2 linked regions of the Caenorhabditis elegans genome follow. The protein of the gene in region 1 interacts with the protein of each later gene in a biochemical or structural test. Each region holds a gene or a part of one and is shown in the gene's direction. Other genes may lie near its edges. The genes, in order: his-7 and nap-1.

Region 1 (3,145 bases):
AATATGATTTTTCAGATTTCATTGAAACGATCTAATATTATTGCGAAGTTTGGATTGATGCACTCTGTTGCAGTGAACCTTTGGAATTGGCTGTCCATTTGCCTTATTAAATCTGTAAGTGATAGCTTAAAACTTATTTATAAGCGAACTTTGTAAGTAAAAAATGAAATTTAATTGCAGAGCATAAAACACGCCAAAAAAGAAATCAAATACACCTATGAAGGATCCGACAACGAAACTAAAACCGAGATCTTGACGGAAATGTCATATGATTTTACAACTGACTCTTTTGGACCTCACGATAAACAATTGAGAGCCATTATTAAACTTGGCAGTAGCTCAAGCATCTTGCTCACATGCCTAGTAGAGTTTTCTCTAATTGCTGCTGTAATTTGTTTCATAATTTGGAAGAATGATGACTCGAATTCAGGAGAAGCTCTGAAGAAAAAGAAAAAACGACATTTCCGATTTGACTGCAGTGGCACCACAGTTGGAATATTTCTGGCAGTTGCTGTTCATATTATCTCAGCAGTTGCAGTTGGAATGCATGGAATTCTTTCAAAAAGTAATCGAGATTCTGCTGCAAATCTACTTGTTGGATACACTGATGTATTTCTGTTCGTTGTTGCACTTCTTGCTTGTATTCTAGCATTCTTTCAAATGCGAAAACTACAATATAGGCTTCATGCTCACGGAGAAGTCATTGATGAGATTCTGTTAATTGTGGGATTAGCTGGAGAATGTGTGTACTCATGTGCTGGAATGGATTTATATATCAATGACAAGATGATTAAAGAACCTGCTTCATACATTACAATTGTATCATTCACATTGAGAATCACCGAAGTCTTGGTTCAAACAATTTTTATCCTTATTGCTACTAGGTATGTTTCGGCTAAAACGTCTCACTTTTAATATTCGGGGCTACGGTTGTAACGACTACGAGAAAATATCTTATTTTGCTTTGCATGAAAATATTTCAGAATGAGATGCTACACCCAGACCAATTGTTACACTGAGCCAGGAAAACAAGTGATAACATTTCTTCTCGTATGTAATATCAATCTATTTATCTATCACACATTCGAAAGTAAGTTCAGTAACGAGTTGTAATCTAACTAATACTAATTTTTTTCCAGCTACTGAATTGAACTTTGGATTTCCCATCAAACTGCCTGATAGCTACTCCGCTATGCTTAATATAGCTTCGCCAATTGTAGTTTTCTATCGGTTTCACAGTTCAGCATGTTTGGCGGAGATTTGGAAACATACGTATTCAAGAAAGAACCATAATGTTGTAACAGATAATACAGTTGATCCTCTCGTGGTAGTAAAGAAAATGTGATCGATAATGAATTGCCTCTGAAAACATTCTACAACAATAAAAATTAGAATCCCAGTTTGATAGAACAAGTACATAAAAATGTTTATTTTCTGAATGTGTGTTTGATGAATCGCCACAATACAAAACTGAATACCAGTTTGATGAATATAATCGAAATTATACGAATATTTGCATTGATAAAGGATTTTCACAAATGTGGCCCTAAAGAGGGCCGTTGGGTTCGGTGATTTGCTTTCAGCAATTGAATGCTTACTTGCTAGAGGTGTACTTGGTGACAGCCTTGGTTCCCTCGGAGACGGCGTGCTTGGCAAGCTCTCCTGGAAGAATCAAACGGACGGCAGTTTGAATTTCGCGAGAAGAGATGGTGGATCTCTTGTTGTAGTGAGCAAGACGAGATGCTTCAGCAGCGATACGCTCGAAGACGTCGTTGACGAAAGAGTTCATGATGGACATAGCCTTGGAAGAGACTCCAGTGTCTGGATGAACCTGCTTGAGCACACGGTAGATGTACACGGAGTAGGATTCTTTACGGGCATGACGTCTCTTCTTTCCGTCCTTTGGCTTGGTGACGGTCTTGGCGGCTTTCTTTGCTCCTTTAGCAGACGGCTTTGGTGGGGCCATTTCGATTGATTGGACTGGTCGTTGGGCAAGTGTAAGGAATGGGTTGATGGTAATTTCTTTTATAACAATTTTTCGGTGGAAAGGAGGAGCCTATTGACATTCTGTGGGGACATCTTTCTATGCTGTCTCTCATGCCGAATGTACAAAGTGCACAGTTTTTCTTGGTCACTCTGCCACCTCCCCCATCTGTCTTATCTCTATGTGCCCGCCTAGTCACCGCAGCTGTGTTTAAAAGGGTGCTGTCTAATGGTCTTCTTCAGATTGTTTCTACATCTACCAACCTATCACCACCATGTCTGGACGCGGAAAGGGAGGCAAAGCCAAGACCGGAGGAAAGGCCAAGTCCCGCTCATCAAGAGCCGGACTCCAATTCCCAGTTGGTCGTCTTCACCGTATTCTCCGTAAAGGAAACTACGCTCAACGTGTTGGAGCCGGAGCCCCAGTTTACCTGGCTGCTGTTCTTGAGTACCTCGCTGCTGAGGTTCTCGAGTTGGCTGGAAACGCTGCCCGTGACAACAAGAAGACCAGAATTGCCCCAAGACATCTCCAACTTGCCGTCCGTAACGACGAGGAGTTGAACAAACTGTTGGCTGGAGTGACCATCGCACAAGGAGGAGTTCTTCCAAATATCCAAGCTGTTCTTCTTCCAAAGAAGACTGGAGGAGACAAGGAATAGATGCCTTCTTAAAACAACTTACCGAACCCAACGGCCCTCTTTAGGGCCACAAATATCTTAATCCTGAGTTAAATGTAAATAAAATTGTATTTTAATAATGTTTATTAGTTGTTGTATATATTGAAATGATTTTAAGCAAATGAAGTGAGAAATTTTGGTACATTGCTCTAGTCTACGTTCAAATGTGTATGACATTTTTGTAATAGTGAATTTTGTTTAAAATTCAAACAAATTGGCGTCAAAATTTTTTGTCTTCATAATAATGTCCTTGGAAATGACCTCGCTGAATAATCTGATTGAAATAATCCTTCCTGTTGATTCAAATACACATAGATGCACTTTCTCATTGAAACAAAGATATTGTGACGTCACAACGCAGACAATTGTTTACTTGACCTGTATTCAGAATGAGAAATTGGTGACGTTTCTAATGCCACTTGCTGCGTTTTCAATGGAAAAGGAGATAACATACAGAATTGATTTCGTAGTTCGAGAGAATATTA
Region 2 (4,202 bases), on another chromosome or scaffold:
ACAGTTATATTTGATTATTAAGTCCATTTATAACTGCGACAAATTTACATTAAATAAGAATATTGTCCACTTATGAAAACAGTTTTACAACATTAGTAATTTTTTATAAAACTTACGCAAAGGCAACCACAAGAACGGATTGGAAGACAGAAATGAAGAAATAGGCAACGAGAATTATTCCTCCAAGAGTGACCAATGGATGATCCGTGCGCATCTTAAAACTTGATTTTTTTTTGGTAATTCTTGGTTTCAGTAATTGTTTTTGGACCAATTTTATGTGCCATCATGTTTTAATCTATATTTTTCAATTATTTTTTTAGCTTTAACTTGCAAAAAAACGATTATCACAACAATAATTTTCATCAACGAAGTGCACAAACTGTTACGTGAAACATATGTTAACTTATCCTATTCAGGTAAACGGTAAAAACGAGCTCTTTTTATTTTTTACGGTGGACATGGCTTAATTTTATGCTGCTGCGTTTTGCATCTGAAACTTGAACTTAAACTAATTTTGAATTCCAAATTCCAATAAAACTTTGTACCTATCAATTCCGTCAACAATTCGAATTTCTTATCAATATAAAAACATCACATTCCCGTCAATCATTACCTTTTTGATATTTGCATCAGCCGAGACAGCAAAGATTAGAGTTGCAATTACGGCGACAACGGCGATAAGACCGACGAAAATGTCCTGGCTACTGATGAACGTGTGCAGAAGGAATAAAGTGATGATTGTAACAAAGTAGTTGGTTTGAAAGTACAGAAGATTCGAGATTATTCGATTGTTCCATTTCTTGAAGTCGTTAAATGGTGGACGCTGAAAATCAATCAATTGGATTTTTATCTTTTGAATATTGAAATAAAAAACTCGATTATTTTTAAATTAAACTCTAAGTAAAAATTTTAAACGACCACTTTAGTCAAACTTCAACATATGTAAATATATTTTCTACAAAAGTTGGCCCTTCTTTAAAAATATATGTAATAACAATTCAAGCCTACCTCGTATCGATCGGTTTCCAGCAGAAACTCGTGAAAATTTCTGAACGGTGGCACTTCCACGCCATTCATAATTTGCATATTTTCTGAGGACGTCGTCATTTTTCCCTGAAAATAACAATGAATTTGAAAACTCGCTAAGATTTTCGGAAGTTGAAAATATTTAAAGTAAAGTGAGAAGTTTTGTGCTGAACGGGGGAACATCTGGCGTCGAATGCTATGTGTAATATTCTAATAGCTTAAGGAACTTCGAGAGAATCGAGAAAACGAGAAATATGATTCCAAGATGTGGGTTATTTGAAGAGCTATCAAATTTTAGAATTTGAAACGCAAAAAACTGTTTATTTAAAAAAAAAAGTGCCTACAATTAGTTTCAAATGCAATCAAATTTCAGGAGAATTTACTATCATAACAAATCCATACTTTTATAAATAAAAATCAATACAATTATTATATGTAAATCACCAAAACAAACCAGAAAACAAACGACAATATGAAAACATTGATAAAAAATAATATAGGCATGAAAGACCATCTCGTAAATAATAAGCTTGTGTGCGCCTTTAACCGCGGGTCTCACCGCGAAGAGACATTTTATGGAGGAGGAGCGAAGTGGTTGTTTGGAAAATATATTTTCAACTCTCGTCCTATGATTTTAGACAGCACTGCTTCGTTTCACAATAATTTTACAGATTTTTTCTCGAATTTTCGAAAATCATCGTATTTTTTTGCTTGAAAGAGTATGCCAAAATCATCTATTTATGCTTTGTAGGTAATAAAATGGCTGATCAAGAGCATATTGACGCTGGACTTCTCAGCACCAACTTCGACATGATTCAGGCTTTGCCTCTCAATGTCAAGCAACGCGTCTGCGCTCTCAAAAACCTTCAAATGAAGACAATTCAGGTTAGTTTTCTTTGTTTATGTTCTTAAGTATATAATTTATTTCAGATTGAATCTGACTTCTACAAACGTGTTCACGAGCTCGAGATCGAGTTTGAAGGAAAGTTCAAATCCACTTTCGATCAAAGAAAGGCTATTGTCGCGGGAGAGGTCGAGCCAACTAAAGAACAAATCGACACTCCAATCCTCGAAGGACTCGAGGGAGATCAACTCGCTGTAAGTTCCTAATCAAGATTCCCTATATAGCCTGCAACTATTCAAGAGATTTGCCTCCCGTGGGGCACGCCTTTTTTCGTTGCGAAATAAAACATGTCCTTTATTCCCGCTCCTGGATTGTGTTTCTTGCGCGATGATATGGCTATGACAATTCCAGCTTATTAGTTGACATTTCTTTGTTTCAGGAATTGTACAAAGCTGCGGAGGCTGACCCATCAGCAAAGGGGATCAAGGATTTCTGGCTCACCGCTCTCAGAACCCATGATCTTGTTGCTGAAGCCATCGAGGAGCATGACGTACCAATCCTCTCATATCTCACTGATGTGACGACCGCCGCTAGCAAGGATCCAGCCGTAAGCGCATTTCATTGTTTTCGAAAGTTAATGTTTTGAACTTCAGGGTTTCAAAATCGAGTTCCACTTTGCCACCAACCCATACTTCAAAAACCAAGTTCTTACCAAGACCTACTTGCTCGGTTTCGACCCAGATGCGGAGGCACCACTCCAATTCGATGGACCACATGTCATCCGCGCTGTCGGAGATACTATTGAGTGGGAAGACGGCAAGAACGTCACCAAGAAGGCTGTCAAGAAGAAGCAAAAGAAGGGAGCTAATGCTGGAAAGTTCCTCACCAAAACTGTGAAAGCAGATAGTTTCTTCAACTTCTTCGAGCCACCAAAGAGCAAGGACGAGAGAAATGAAGATGAGGACGATGAACAGGCAGAGGAGTTCCTTGAGCTCGACTACGAGATGGGACAAGCTATCCGTGATACCATCATTCCACGTGCTGTTCTTTTCTACACTGGAGAACTTCAATCAGACGATATGTTCGATTTCCCAGGAGAGGACGGTGATGATGTGTCAGACTTCAGTGACGATGAGGCTTAAGCAGTATCGATGGACCACTTATTAATTTGCCAATTTTTGAAATTATTAATTTTCCATTTTCTTTTTTAAAATTTTTTTGATTATTCCCAACCCCTTCACATAATAGGCGGAAAACCGATTGTTGCTGTTACTTGTTGTTGTCGTTTATTCCCTGACCTATCCATATTCCGCTTCTCCCAATCTCTAAAGATATACCTGAAAACGAGTTGTCGTCGAAATACTTGATACATGTTGTCTTCATCCTGGTGTATGTTGTTTCGCAAATTCTTCATACTAGTTATGATAGGATTTGAATGAGCTGGCACGAGTCGACTTTGAACTCGAATTTCAATATTTTCGTGATCCTGCATTAAGTGATGAATAAAATCCCTTGTTGCGAATTTCAGTCCTTCTGAGGTCTTGCCATCTGGAACATCTTTCAGGAGAGATCGTCTATTTCAAAACCCTCTGCATTATGTTGGACGGCTACCAACTCCTCTTAAAAGCACAGTGCTCGGAATCGCTAGACTTGCTAGGACTGTCACAAGCAGAGATATTGATTATCATCGAAAACGAAAGACGATATGATGTGAAAACTCGTCTCTGCGAGAGGATTGCTTTTTTAATTTACCAAGACTCGAACTTTGGACGTTTACCGGTATCACCCAACACATTCCTTTCAGATGTATTTAATTGTTCTTCAGCACAACTCTTCGGAAGTTTTCGCGTCCATCAACAGATTATGTAAATCAATGCCAACTGGTTTTTCATTTGAAGGTAGATATTCAAATTATGGTAATCTTCTTATTATTATCTCAATTATACAGTTTGGTGTTACCTAAAAGTTCTAGTCTCAATAGACAAATACTTGTTACTTTCCCAAAATATTTGAAGAACAGAAAAAGTATTTGCACACATTTTCGAGTTAAATGTCGTCGGTTTTTTTCTCTTCAAATTTCGAAATGTTGCGAAAAAAGAGAACATATGTCTGCGTCTACTTCTCTCGAGTTCTCTAGCATGTACTTTATCGAAGAGACCCGAAAAAAGTTTCGAATGTTTCTGTGCTGCAAAGTGCACTTTTCATTTAATCGAAGCCAGTTGGTTAAATGGAACAAAATGATTGGGGGCGAAATAGTATAAATAAAGTGGAATGTTCTGAAAGAATCATAAGCTTAAAAATATGTCTAGAGCAGAAAGATCCACTAGGAACA

Evidence for each region.
Region 2: the proteins of his-7 (region 1) and nap-1 are reported together in a solved structure, tested with the Caenorhabditis elegans proteins (one study listed by BioGRID).

What each region holds. Positions count from the first base shown.
Region 1 is NC_003283.11:8,531,121-8,534,265, forward strand, and holds his-7 (Histone H2A), read left to right. Parts: upstream 1-2,258; coding exon 2,259-2,642; downstream 2,643-3,145. Other genes in the region: otpl-5 (Otopetrin-2), read left to right, coding at 16-114, 181-884, 984-1,090, 1,140-1,345; his-8 (Histone H2B 2), read right to left, coding at 1,595-1,966. UniProt on the Caenorhabditis elegans protein: Core component of nucleosome. Nucleosomes wrap and compact DNA into chromatin, limiting DNA accessibility to the cellular machineries which require DNA as a template.
Region 2 is NC_003282.8:8,376,895-8,381,096, reverse strand, and holds nap-1 (Nucleosome assembly protein 1-like 1), read left to right. Parts: upstream 1-1,777; 5' UTR 1,778-1,785; coding exon 1,786-1,911; intron 1,912-1,956; coding exon 1,957-2,124; intron 2,125-2,155; exon of another isoform or gene 2,156-2,277; intron 2,278-2,309; coding exon 2,310-2,477; intron 2,478-2,523; coding exon 2,524-3,012; 3' UTR 3,013-3,392; downstream 3,393-4,202. Other genes in the region: praf-3 (PRA1 family protein), read right to left, coding at 117-214, 614-823, 1,009-1,107; D2096.7 (ELYS domain-containing protein), read left to right, coding at 3,467-3,649, 3,696-3,786.